2 linked regions of the Coturnix japonica genome follow. The protein of the gene in region 1 interacts with the protein of each later gene in a pairwise test. Links are inferred from orthologs where the notes say so. Each region holds a gene or a part of one and is shown on either strand. Other genes may lie near its edges.

Evidence for each region. The genes of interacting proteins can lie anywhere in the genome.
Region 2: the proteins of REL (region 1) and UBE2K interact in binary tests that used the Homo sapiens proteins (3 or more experiments, as listed by UniProt). The two-hybrid records come from large-scale screens. The link is inferred for Coturnix japonica from reciprocal best matches to the Homo sapiens genes REL and UBE2K.

What each region holds. Positions count from the first base shown.
Region 1 is NC_029518.1:5,498,871-5,505,659, reverse strand, and holds part of REL (proto-oncogene c-Rel), read left to right. Parts: intron 1-2,158; coding exon 2,159-2,307; intron 2,308-6,097; coding exon 6,098-6,189; intron 6,190-6,789. UniProt on the Homo sapiens protein: Proto-oncogene that may play a role in differentiation and lymphopoiesis.
Region 2 is NC_029519.1:62,493,680-62,501,197, reverse strand, and holds the start of UBE2K (ubiquitin-conjugating enzyme E2 K), read left to right. Parts: upstream 1-3,214; 5' UTR 3,215-3,221; coding exon 3,222-3,374; intron 3,375-7,518. UniProt on the Homo sapiens protein: Accepts ubiquitin from the E1 complex and catalyzes its covalent attachment to other proteins. In vitro, in the presence or in the absence of BRCA1-BARD1 E3 ubiquitin-protein ligase complex, catalyzes the synthesis of 'Lys-48'-linked polyubiquitin chains.

The DNA.
Region 1 (6,789 bases):
GATGTGAAAAGGCCAGTCTAGGTGCTGGGTGTAAAGTGGGAAGAAACACTTTGTACAAATGAGCAAAGCGAGAAAGTGACTTGCAGCAGATGATTCAGTGATTAGGCTCTGCAAAAGAAACCACTGTGAAGTGTGTGAAATCAGAAGGGATACAGAATTTTAAAAGGATTTGAGAAAGAGGAAATAAATGGTGAGAGCACCTGCAATGAAAACTAGTTGGATGACTGTGTTATGGTTAGGTTGGGAAATCCAGAATTAAGGGGTTCATACTAATCTTTGATCAAAGCAGGGCTGAACATATGGACAGTATGGATTTTGGCTGTTGTTTTCTTTCATATGCAGAACTGAGGAATGTAAGAGATGCTAGACAGGTTGGGTGAAGGAGAAGAATTTCTGTTTTCCTATTTGATGTTTAGGTTGGTAATATTTCCTTGGTTACCTTCAGTCTGGAGAAGATCCTTCAGAGATGAGATTATAGTAGAAACTAATACGTGAATGGAAGGTAACGAGTACTTGCCATCTTGATATATATTTTTACAGTGCAATATTTAAAAGACAAAGTGGACCAAGAATGGAGTATCTGGAATCACAGAGATAAAAGAATAGGTACAGAAGATGTGAAATCTGAAAAATGAAATGCTTTAGACTGAGACATAAAAATTCCTTGAGAAGTGGGAGAGTTGAGAAAGGTAGTATTGGCAGTTACGTGTTGAGCAGCATAGAGAGCTTCTACTAAGATAAAGCAACAGTGCTGCTGTGAAAGCTGATCTTCCTCTGAAGCCAGAATACCTAAGGGAAAAGCAAACAAGAAAGACCCTTTTTTTGTGTTTATAGTGCCAGAGTTGAATCAGGAATGTAGGAAGTAGTTCTTTGTTCAATTGGTAAAGTGCTGAAAAAGCAATCTGGCAAGGTTTGTATATGTGCTGGCAGAAATAAATACTTTGACAGAAGATGACGGGGTGGTATGAGCCCTTGATTCCTCTCATCCTTGACCATAATGCACAGGAGCATCATCCAGAACTTGAAGGGAAGGTGGGACTCAGTAGGTAACTATGCAGTCCTGGCATAGTTTCTTCTTTTTTTAACCATGACCATTGATAACAGAGCTGATAGTAGGTGATTTCTGGGTGAATTCCTGCCTCCCTGGAGCCTGTACGAGGCTTTGGTGTTGATTTGCTGCTAGGGGTCTTCACATTTAAGGGGCTAGGTATATAATGAGGGAGAAATAATGCAGTATTTAAGAAGCTGAAAGAGCGGTTGGAGTTTTATTTAAGGGTAAGTAGTGTGTATGAATACTGACAGCTGGATTGGAAACTGAAGAAACTGAGAGATGATGGAAGTTAGAGCATAAGTCAAGTGAAAGGTTGAGGTGCTGATTGAGAAGCGTGTGATGGATCCATGGAGTATCTTGGAAGAGGTAAGAAAGGGCTGAAGGAAGAAGAACAGTTACAGGATGAAGGAAGTGGAGGTGGAGACCACACCTTTGTACAACCTGTGCTGGTGCAAGCCTTGCAAGCGTTTTCAAGTTGTTATACTTCAAACATCTTAGGTCAAACTGTTTTTTAGACTCCCACTCAAACCTTGCTGGCTTCACTGATAGTTGTCAGTATGAAGGAAGACTTGAGTGCCTGAGAGATGTGCACAGAGCCTGACTTCTTTGAAGGCGCTAGTGGGGCTGGAGAACGCAGTGCCCCTCTTACTGAATGTGAAACTGGGTACTCATCTTCAGATTAAAGAGAAAGGCTTGGCAGGGGCTTATGTCATGCTGTATTTTATGAGATCCTCACTGCCTCCTTTGTGTTCCATTCACAGGGATTATCCCTGAGGTTCTAGGAGCTTTTTCCTAAACATCTTTGGAGCTGGAACGCTCTTTAAATAAACATTTGTGTACAGTTGCCTAGGTAGAATTTTGCATCTCACGTTGTAACACTTGGTGTGAAATACGTCCTCTTTTGGTCTTACAACATTACAAGCTGTTTTAATTTCCAATGAAGAACTGAAATGGTCTTGGCTTTTCTTTTATGAGGCAATATTACAATTCCTTACTTGTGGTGTTTCTTCCGTACAGTATTTTAGGATTAAATGTATTTTCTGTTATGTGCTTGGACTTTGCTAGTCCTGATATCTGAAGTTGAGAAAATCTCTCTTATTCTTGTAGATTCTGAACTATTTTGGAAAAGTCAAAATTAGAACTACATTGGTAACGAAGAATGAACCCTACAAGCCACACCCTCATGATCTAGTCGGAAAAGACTGCAGAGATGGCTACTATGAAGCAGAGTTTGGGCCCGAACGGCGAGTCCTGTCGTAAGTAGTGGTGGTGTTCAGCAATTTGATTAATCGTGCAAGCGATATTCTGATCTTATGTCTAAAATTAAGAGGGCAGTTAGTAAGCTTCAGCAAAGGCAGCATACTAATCCATCTGGGAGATAAGTCCAAAGGTTTCCTTGAGCTAGTTCCTTTTTCAGTGTTTCACACACTCCTTTTCTGTTCTGCTCTTCTCCTGTCTTCACTCTCCATATGTCAGTCTCCATATGTCAGTCTCCATTTCCTTTCTTCCACTTGCTTCTTTAGTCCTGTTCATTAGCACTTCTTGAGCTTGATGATCTCTCCTACATTCAGTGTACGAAAATAATGACTAATAGGATTGTTAATGACAACACTCAAATTAATGCTTCCTGAGACTCACGTAATTCACGTCTTTCACAGAAACTGTATTTGGACTTTGTGGAAACGGGAGGAGAAATTTTACACTGAATATCATGTTGTTGAGATGATGTTGATGATTGTCACCTGTTTAGAAATGTGTTGGCGATTGTCACTGCTGTTTCTGTTTGCTAAGTGGGTTTTCTTGGTGGGTTATTTTTTTCTGGTGGTGTCTTTTTCTTTTCAGTGAAAATACAGTTTCTACTCAGCCTCGCTGTGTAGAACAAGTATGCCGGGGAATGACCTATTCATGGAAGTAGTAAAGAGGAATTAAGGCGTTGTATAAAACATGTTTCTCAGTGCTGTTCAGGAGGATATTAGGATTTTGTATTTATTACTTATTACTTTGTATTTATGTGGGTTTAGTCAGTAGAATAGTATTAAAGGAGAGAACTGAAGACACACAGTTTGTTTAATGATAATAATTGTCTGATGGTGGAATAAACTGTTTTAATAGTGGAGATACTTCTACAGTGTACAGCTCAGGCTCAAGTGATCATGAACGTATAGTAGATACATTCAGCTGACATCTGACACGGGTTTTCTTTTTGCTTGTTTTTAGCATTGTTCTCAACCTTCTCCTAGCTGGTAAATGGTAGTTAATGCTGTTTTCCTATTTATTTTTTTCCACCATAAGAGAAAGATAGAACTGTCTCTTCAGATACTTACCTTGCATTTTGAATATTGTAACATCATCCTCATTGGCCTCCCTGCAAAGAGTTCATCTTGTCTACATGGCCATCATAGGTGTCTTAAACTGTTAGGAGACCTTTCGCCTTCGTCTGACCATTCATTCACTACCTTCCTCCATGCTTTCTCAAATCATGCTTCCTTACCCAGGTTCAAACAGTGCCTGCTGTTCTAGCCCATCCTACTTCGAGTTCTCATCTCAGTGGCTTCTGATCTAAAGCAATAAAGCCTAATTGCTTAACACCTTTTCTGGCTATGTATTATATCTACTGGGGAAAGAAGGACCCTGATGATTGTTTTTCCTCTTGGTACTTTGTTGCGCATTTTAAGCCCTCAGAGATCCTGAATTTTACGAGCTATAGGTTGTAATGCCAGAAGTACTGAGCTGCTTTGCAAATTTGTATTTATTTCATGTCTGTTATATGCACGTATCAAGTCATTTTATTTGACATAGTGCTGTGGTGAGCTTCAGTTCAGCTTGAAAGAGAAGATCCTGATGGGAAGAGGCTCTTTTTGAATTGCTTTTAGCATTTGGTACCCTTCGTTGTTTTTTTTTTTTAAAACAAGTCACTGGTTGCTGTAAGATGAAGGAACAACGTGATCCATAATTGGATCTGGATGTTTCAAGTCATTTTCGTTCTTGTGGCTGGTGAATCAGTCTTCACATTCTCTTTGAGTCTGCGTTAGAGAAGAACATCATACAATACAAGTGAGCAGGTAGTGGTTCTAGCTCTTTACTCTTTCTAGGCATCTCAATCAAAGGAAAAAAAAATCCCAATTATTTTGTGTAACTGGAATTACCCAGATTTTGGGCTGCCTTCTATTTAAGTTCCCTGTGTAATCCTAGTTGAACAAAACCTCCTGTATTGCTTGTTGACTGATGCTCTTTGTGCTGCTGCCTGAACTTGATCAGAGCTCCCTCTGTCCCAAACATCAAAGCAAAAGTATCAGCGTTGGAGCTCAAGTGATTGCCTGCATACTGAGATTTTTACTTCATAGTTCTCGTGCTCTCTACATGGATGATATCATAGTTTTAATGTTTGGTCCTTTTTTTTTTTTTTAAATGTTTTTTGTTCTGGTTTTTTTTCCCCTTTCTTTTTTTTCTCTTCCTATTTCTCCCTCTCTTCTTGTTATCTTGCTTGCTTCCAGTCAGCAAGTGTTTATGTGAAACCCTGCAGGCTTCCTGAGGTCCTTGATTGTTTCTTCTCTGATCCTGTCCTCTGTTTGACAGTTGTTAAATAGACACTTGCACTGCTGCAGTTCATGTTTTAGAAAACATTTATAATCTGAAAGTTAGGGGTGCTTAAAAGTCTAGTTTCTTTGCCCAGGTGGTTTAATTCACAGTGCTTGAAGCAAACAGTATAAAGGTTCTTGGTCCTTGCAGAGCTGGATTCAGCTTTTGTGAGGCTAGTTCTATATGCATCCTCAGCTGATGTCTGTGACTTCAGGTGAATTGCCGGAGAGTCTGGGCCTATTCATGTGGCAGTTTTGGGCTGTAACATGGAACCAGGCCTGTTTGTGGACTTGAAGTATGGTTCAAACTGAATTAGCAGAATAAAGTGCATATTTAGGAAAGAAGAGCTGAGTTGTGTGCTGTCATCAAGCCCTAAAAGAGTAGAATATACAAAAAGAATTGTGAAATACAAATCAACATTGTCAGTAGTCATATATGAAACCCAAGCGATTTACTGAGCTATGACATGCTGATTGTGTTTCATTTTCATTTTTGAGTCACTGTGTCAAGTTCAGAGGGAAGCTTGTGCGTTCTTCCAGTAAGTGAAAGCTCTGGAAGAGGATTCTGATTGCAGTGATTTTGGTAATCACTGAACGGACTGTGTTGGGCACGAGCAAGGTGCTTTAGGGGAATTAAACTTGGGTAGTCTTGTTCAGAGCAGGGAAACGTAGCACTGCTCTTAAGAGTTGTGGCAGGAAGGTGGATCAAGTTGATTTTTAGGCATAACTAAAGAACTTTTGTTTTGTTTCAAAGGAAGGGATGTTGCTGGTTCTGGAGCAGGATAGGCAGAGCCTATTGCCGTGGTTTATCTTCTGAGCTTACTGTAACATTGTGAAACATGAATTTTTAGAAATGTTTTTATTTTTTAACTTCCTGTTTTACATCCACTCAGCTCTGATGTCATGGTTTTTCCATGTGGGAAACAGTCAGCTTGCCTGGGACTCCCCCCGCCTTCTGCATTGGGGTGACCTATACTCATATGCAAATAAAGAAGAGCTGAAGCTCTTGAGAACTTTTCTGTAGCTACATGAGATTTCAGAAAGTGCTTTTATTTGTATCAAAAGCCTTAAAAATAGTGTTCAAGATTTACATTCCCTGATAAAAGCAGGAGCACAAATTCTTAACTGATGCAAACAATAAGGTTTGCTTTAAATACTTTTCACTTTCAATGACCTGAGACTGACTGTATTTTAATTTTTAGTCTCTGTGGGTTTACTGCAGGTTTAACTATTTTTAATACAGATGTATTTATTCCTCTTTAGAACTGCATTTTAGTAGTCCTTAAATTTTCTGCTCTTATTTTAGGAAAAGTATATCCTTACTGTCAGACCTGTTAACACTTCTGTCAAAGGAAGCACTTTTTAAATTTCTTAAGCCACACGTTATCACAGTATTGCTCAGCACATGATTTGTCTAGTATTCTACACTATTCTATTACTTGCTGAAATCCTATCATGTGTACTTCAGTTTTCAGAATTTGGGAATTCAGTGTGTGAAGAAGAAAGACCTGAAAGAATCGATTTCTTTGCGAATCTCTAAGAAAATCAACCCCTTTAATGGTGAGTAGAACTTATTGTCTGAAACAAAATTTCACTTTGCAAGATTGTTGCTGGTTGGCTGGTTTTGTTTTTTGTCTTGCCTTTGCTTTTGCGCTAGAAGTGTATTTTCAGGTTTTTATTTCAGTGTTTTTATTTCAGAGAAACACTCTTCCCCTTCTGTGCCTCTAGTAGTCTTTCCTCACTGTCATCACATGATGAATCTGGTTGGAAAGTTGCTGTTTTTCTCCTCCCCCCCACAGTAGCAGTGTAAGTTGGCTGTGTCTTTTTGACTAGATAGCCTGGGCAGTGCCATCATGCAAATCTAAGAGGCTGTGGGATAGCAACTGAAGCTTTCCTTGGAAACATCTACAAGTATCCCAGAAATCTGGTTCCCTAACTTTGGCAACTATGTGGAAAGACTGAATTAGCGCAGTTCCACAGCAGGCATAAATCTGGCTTGCTACAACCGCATCCCTTCTCTTGAAGACCAGTGTCCGTGTGACCTCTCAGCCAGATACTTCAGGGAGCTGAGCCCATAGGTAAACTCCTTACTTAATTTTGAAGCTTGGGACTGATAGAGGCAATTAGAATGTCCACAGCAGTACTAACCTCAGTCAAGGC
Region 2 (7,518 bases), on another chromosome or scaffold:
ACGGAGGGACAGAGGGGGGTGGCGGAGACCCGGCCCGCTGGGAGCCGGGGGAGCGGGGCCGGCCCGCCGCAGGCCGGGCGGGAAGCCCCCGGTGCGGTGCGGGCCGGGCGGTGCGGGGCGGCGCGCTGCCAGCCGGGCGGGTGGGGCCTGCAGCGGCCTCCTGCCCCGCAGACCGCCCCGCGCGTCCCGCCGCCCGCGCAGCCGGCGCCCGCCGGGCCGGGCGTGACGAAGGGAACCGGGGGGTCCGCCGCTTCCAGCATCACCTTCAGGCACGGCCCTACCGCTGCACGAGCACGGGGTTTTAATACAGTGAATTTTTTTGCAGGTAAACCTGTTTGTCTAGCTTGCTTCATTGCAGGACTAACGTTAACCCTGGTGTAGGTTCTCACCTTCGGTTGGATGGCTTTAGAACCTCCCTCGTTTCTGTGTCCTTACCCAGTCTCCCTCGTTTCCACCTGCATCCTTCTGAAACGATGCGTACCTGAGGGCATGGGCGGTCGGTAAGAATGGCCCGCTGCCCTCAGGAAGGCGCTAAGGAAGTTCCAATCTGTGCAGGGGAATATAGCACCCTTTGCAACATCACGTTGGTATGGCTCTTGCTGTGCTCGTATCTGAGTTGGTGAACATCAGCCAGATAGGATTTAATAGTTGTGTCGTCATCATCGCCCTACTTGGGATGATGTTGCAGGTTAGATGCTTGTGAAATATTAATGGGAGCGTGTAACTCCTAAAGCTGGTGTTCTAGAAATCTGGACATGTTAGTGAGGAAAAGTTGAGGGGATATCTTTAAAATACATTGATGATTTAGGGAAAACGTGCTTAGCATAACAGTAGTTGATGTACTTTAAGTGTGCTAGCACCATTTTGCTGTACAGCTTTTATGAGCCCCTTGAAGTAGTATACAGGCCGGGTTCTTATAGCCTTAGAGCCCAGGTTGATGTACCAAACTCTTGCACAGTGATGGCAGAATTGCATGTAAACTGAGAGAACATTCTTAGTGTGTTTTTTTTTGTACCAAAGCTACCAGGTCTAGACCCTGTGCTCCATGTAACCGCTGATATTTGGAGTCTAATAGCTTCAAGATATTTTCCTTTTGTTTTATTTAGGGCGGAAAAGGGGAGGGGAAGAAAACTTCCCCAGTTTGAGAGGGAGATCCATGCTGATTATTATTATTGTATTTTATTACTGTAAAGGTTGGATCTGGAGATCGCATTTGTCTCAGTTCCCGTTTGTTTAGTCTCTGTGTTGAAGGGCCCAGTGTAGGATGTTGTAAATAAATAATACCATGAAGTGATCTTTAAGCTGAACAAAACTCCCCTGATCCTTACAGAACTAAAGCTACAAGATCTTAAACTTAAAATGCACGACTTTGATATTTTCCCCCTGCCATTAGCTAGCCATGGAGGAGTGTTATATTGATAAAGCAATTCACATGGAGTTGCTGTTTAAGGATATAGTAATTCTCCTGTTGTGAAGACAGAATTTCAGCATTCATCAGCACCTACAGTTTAGACAAGCACAGTGTATTTTGGATGTTTGTATGCTCAAAGACAGTCAGACTGTGGTACCAGTAGCACCACTAATGTGAAAGCACATGCATTGAGATGAGGAATGGAGGATGGTGGTATAACTCAATGTACAAATCAAAGAGGAAAGAATTGTGGTTGGTTGTTTTCCCTGCATTATTTATGTACTGAAATTAGTCTCAAACCTTGGTCCTTTAAAAGGGGGAAAAACAAAACAAAACACAAATGGTGATGCTAAATTTGTTACTTACAAGTTGAAGTCCCTCTCTGAAGGCAAAGTGACTCATGTTATTTGTGCTTTAATTATTCTTCATTTGGTGCTTTGAGCTTCACCTTAGCATGGAGAGCAGCCCCTGTTTCTCTGCAGGTGCAGAGTAGGAGAGCAGGTGCCTGGGGAGGAGTTGGGCACATTTGGGAAGAACACAAGAGGGAGTTTGCTCTCATCTTCAAGTTCTCATCTTGGTACTGAAATAGGTGGGAGAACCAGAAACATTTAAAAGGGAGAAGCTGGATGGTATTTGACTTCTGTGCTTGGAAGCACCAAATTTCACTTTAAATATTGGTGAAGAGGTAATTCTGTGAAGTGTGCTATTCTTCCTGTAGATAAAGTTTAATACTGATATGCCTAAGTATCCTTAGTGCTTTCTGTTTCTGTGACATTGAATAGTATTTCTGGGAAATCACTACAACAGCCTTCAGCCTTGCCTTGCTTTCTGGTTTGCAGGTAGGAGCTGAGGGATTTGTGATGTAGGAGGGGAGGGGCTGACAAGGCTTTTAAAATCTTCTCACACTTCAATATTTTTTGCTTCTTTTTTTTTTTGGTAGCATTTCTGTCTTTTTTAATTGTTTTAATAAGGCCTTGCACGTTGATTTAAGGAATGGGGCGTTGTAGAGATCTTTGCAGCTTTGCACCTTTTGAGTTTATAAATGAGGTACGTGAGACTGACAACAGTTTCCCCATTGAGAGACAGAGGAATTGTCTTCAGAGTAGGAGGAGAGTTGAAATGTTCAGGTTGCTGATGTCCTGCGTATTCAACAAAAGTGAAGCTGCTCATGTAGGTAATAACCTGACTAGTGTAATATAGGTTGGAGGGTACCGTCTTGTTCCTCTATGAAAACTTAAAGTAGTAAACAGTGATTAACTCATGCACTGTTTTGAATCATAGTCTAGGCAAGTTGCACTCTTTCTTTCTTCTGTCATTTCATTAATTTATCTTGTTAGTTTCATGGGTTAGGCTAAATTAAATTCCAAAGTAGCAAAACATGTTCTGAATGAAAGTGTGAAGCTGCAGCTTGATGGAGAAACTAACAATTGGTGGAGGGGGAATAACAGCCCAGTATCTTTCGCTTTGATGGCTGGGAAGAGGCTTTGGTGAAGGTTAGCTGATATTATTCCAGAACAGGGTTATTGGAGTGCTAGCCAGATTCTTACCATCTCTGTCTGTAAGCAGCTGTCTTATGAGGGGAAGGATCTGGTATTTAACAACGAGCGCTGAAAAACATTGTGTTCATTCATGGGCTGGTGCTGACAAGTGGTTTAGTTCATCAGGCACGTCAATGTGTAAATCTTTTTTCTTATTTTACTATAGTATCACATGTGCTTTAAGGAATGGTATTGTGCTGGCAGTGGAGTTGACCATCCAATATCTTCATCATGCAGGAATGTAAGGAGATTTCTGGCCGTCTCTCTGTGAAATGCTGTTAGGAGTGAAATTGCTTCTCTGTGGCATTGAGGATAACACTTCGGTAAACATGGCTTCCTTCTGGCAAGAAAAAAGTTGGTGGTTTTTCTACCACAGAATGTTCCTCTTCCCTGTATCAAAAGGCAGAGGTTTATCTGCATGGAAGGTAAACACAGATAGAGCTACAAATAAATTAAACTCGACTGTAGTTGCAGAATAGGAGTATCTGCAAGAGCAGATATGTGCAGTAGCAGTTAAAATTTGTAACGTGAGTCCCAAACAGTTTTCAAGTGGAAACAGTATGTTGATGGCAAAAATTGAGTTGCATCATTTCCAAGAAGGAAGTCGATATTTGTTCTGGAGTCTGCTATGTGATTTTGTGTTGTAAAAGAGAAGGGAAGAGTAACAATCGCGTGCCATACTGTGTTCCTCCCTAGACTTGCAGTGAGTAGCTGTGCTGTTTGTTTGCTGCTGGTGGTGTTGGGATGCTTGGCAGTTTGTAAGCTGCTAAGTGACATCTTGGTAACTGGAGAGCGGTGAACTGAGGTTCAGAAGAACTTTACTGTATTTGATTTGCTTATCACAGAATCACACAGAATCACAGAATGACCCGGGTTGGAAGGGACCTCAAGGATCATGTAGTTCCAAACCCCCCTGCCTGGCAGGGCCACCAAACATACACCTTTACTAGATCAGGTTGCCCAGGGCCCCGTCCAACCTGGTCTTGAACACCTCCAAGGACGGGGCATCCACAACCTCCCTGGGCAGCCTGTCCAGGGCCTAACCACTCTCCTAATGAAGAACTTCCCCCTAACATCCAACCTAAATCTTCCCTCTTTTAACTTTAAAACCATTACCCCTAGTCCTGCTATATCAGCCCTTTCGAAGAGTTTACTCCCCTCCTGGGAGTAAGTTCCCTTCAGGTACTGAAAGGCTGCAATGAGGTCACCCCGCAACCTTCTCTTCTCCAGGCTGAACAAACCCAACTCCCTCAGCCTGTCCTCATAGGGGAGGTGCTCCAGCCCCCTGATCATCTTCATCTTATACTTGAGCAGTCTTGGGTACTAGAAACTGAATTCACTAAAATGGAAGCTTTTACTAGTAATTGTGCTTCGGTGTCATTAGAAAGGCCTGATGGATACTGTGGATGTGTGGTGGTTTTTTTCTTACCATTTATTATGTAGGAGCAATGCAGATGTATAAAGATGAAATGTCTTCTATTATGACTCCTGAGTCAGCAACGTAATATTTAAACAATGCCAACTTTCTGCTCAGGCAGATATTTAAGTCTTGATTCATGAGAATTGGTCTATTGAGGTCAAGTGTAGGTTTAGTAAGTGCGGAGTGTGAGTGGAGCTAGAGTGGGCCTAGTTAATTAAAAAGAAGCGTAAAAATGAGAACTTCTACAATGAAGTTGTCGTGTTGGTACAAATCTTTGGTGTGCCTCTCAGAAACCTTGCATATGGCCTCAGACTTGGGGGGGAGGGAGGCAGCAGTGTGTCAAGTACAGGCTGCTTTGCAGAGGGCTGTGTGGAGACTGGAGAAATTAATGAACTGACAGGAGCTTTGTGAAGTTAACTGTTAAGTGCCAAGTCCTGAATCTGAGAAGTAACACTGTACATCAATACGTGTATGCTCTGGGGACTGACTGGAGACAAAGCAAGTTGGCAGAAAAAGACCTGTGGCAAAGAGGGCCAACTGCACACTGGGTTGTTTTTAGCATGAATGCAGAGAGGGGTGAGGAAGTGGTTCTTCACTTTCCCATGCACTTCTGAGACCATATCTGGAGTGCTGTGCCCTGTTCTGGGAAATCCATTAATACACCAAAGTGAGTCCAGTAGAATGCCATAAGGGAGATTAAGGGACGGGACTATGTGATGTGAGAGAGGGGCAGAAAGGTGGCCACTTAAACCCACCACAGGTACTTGACTCCAGAGGAGAATCAAACATTTCGGTGGCGCACAGGGGTAGGATGAGAAACAACAGGTAAAAGCTGGAACATGATAAATTATGACTGGAACCTGGGGAAAAAAAATGGCGTTACAGTTGTCTCATTGAACTGATTGAATGGAGAGACTGTGGATTCCCCATCCTTGATGATATTCAGAAACTCAGTGAGACAAGTTCTTGAGCAGCCTACTTTTGTTGGACCTGCTTTGAGCTGGAGGTAGGACTAGATGCCCACCAAATGTCTCTTCCTGCATCGTTTTTTTTGTCTCTAGTATAAGGTTCTTTTAAATTAGTGCTGTGGTTGTGTTTTCTTTTTTGTGAAAGAAAATGCCAGGGTCCCCACAACACCCTTCTCTCCAAATTGAAAGTGTATGGATTTGATGGGTTGACTGCTCAATGGATGAGGAACTGGTTGCAAGTTTGTACCCAGGGAGTGGTGGTCAGTGGCACAGTGTCTGGATAAGGATCAGTGACTAGTGATGCCCCTCAGGGCTCAGTGCTGTTTAGTGTTTTCATTGGTGACATCAACAGTGGGATCAAGTACCCCTCAATAAGTTTAAACTAATATGAGTTAATACATTTTTTATGGTAAGGGTAGCGGAGCACTACCAGGTTGCCCAGAGAGGTGGTTGATGCCTTGACCCCGAAGTCATCCAGAGTCTGGATGGGGTTCTGAGCAACCTGACTGAGCTGTAGGCACCTCTGTTTGTTGCAGGGGAGTTGTTCTGGGTGACCATTAAGAATTCTTTCCAACTCAAAATGGTCTATGACTGTATTACTGTCTCCAGACCTGATAAAATATTTTCTCTGTGAACAAATCAGAGGTTTTGAAGTAGCATTTTTCTCTTTATCTGGGAAGTTTCTGCTGTTGTAAGATGATAACGAATCCTCTGTCCACAAATTAGAGACTAGTTCTTCCGGTAGGTGCCAAGTTGATTAAATCTTATTAGGCTGAATGAGTTCTGGGTTGAATCATGAAGGTAGAATGGATATGAAATCCATAATTCTTCTAAAAGTTCTGTTTATTTGAAATGTGAGGATCTTCACTTGAAGATGGCTATTTGTGGTATCATTTATACCTTGCTGGAAAGAATTCCACTGTGTATTTTAAGCTCTGCCTATTACAACAGGCAAGGGTTAGAGCTTTTTTTTCCTCAGTAATTAGAGGTTACCAAAAAGTATAACTGGAATGCCATTACTGTGCACCTTTTGGTTTTCTTAATTCTCTGTGGTGTGTTTGGTCATGTCTTCCAGTTTGTACTAGAAAATCACAGAATCATGTAACTTGGAAAAGGCCTTCAAAGTGATCAGCCTCAACTACCAACCTGACCCACTGTTACACCGTGTCCCTCGGGCAGAATAACTCGAGATGAATCTCTACATCTCAGCCTTTAAAGGATTTGGTCCATAAGCTGCTGCTTCTTGTTATTTAAAGAGTAATTTGCTCAAAACAAAACGCGTTTTCTAGGGCATTTCATGAGAACTTCTTACTACTTTCACTTTTCAGTGATCTTCCTCAACTATTGGTTTACTTGGTTTGCTACACCTGGAATACAATTGAACTTCTTAAAAAGTATTGTGTAGATACTGATGAACACTAGTGTTATTCATAGCACTGCTCAAATCTACCATTCAGGGTACTCAGTGCACAGCGCTAGTGATCATTTGACCAGACCTGTGAGTTGGCCATGTATTGTTAATAGTACTTCTGCAGGGAAGGCAAGTTCTGTTACTTGTTCCCCTTGTTCAGTTAATAGCGTTTTTGTTGTTAATGTGTATCTGAGATTTCTAGTGAACACTATTCATTTTGGAAGAATCCCAAAGATGCTGGAAGGTAGTAGAAAGCAGGAAAACCTTGGTAACCACTGAAGTCAGGCTCGTTTGATTGTCTTTCGTTATCTTTTAAAATCCTGAGGCAATGTACAGTTGTATGTTACAGGACTGGGTTAGTAAGCTTAGGATTTGCAGTTAAGCTGCAGCTACTACTGGGCGCTGCCTTCTGACCACAACCAAATGGACCCCTCATGGTAGAAATCAGCCAGTTATTTAACCTTCCCAGTCTCCCATTCATTCTTCTGTGCTTATTTCTAGGAGTTTGACTTTAATAGGAAAGAAGTGTACGAGTTCTAAGGTTAGTTCACTTTACTTGGTTTGAAATTTAAAGATGATTTCTGTTTTATCATAGTAAACTTCTAGAATTGTAAAAGTGTGCAAGAAAGTACTGGCTGACGGTCCAGTCTTGAGTCATGTTTAAAGGTCATTCAGTCACATTGAACTTGTTAAATTAGGGCACATAGTTAGTGGAGTTCTGATGTTACTCACTGAGCTTGGTTTCTCAACCCAAAGATTCCTGTCATTAC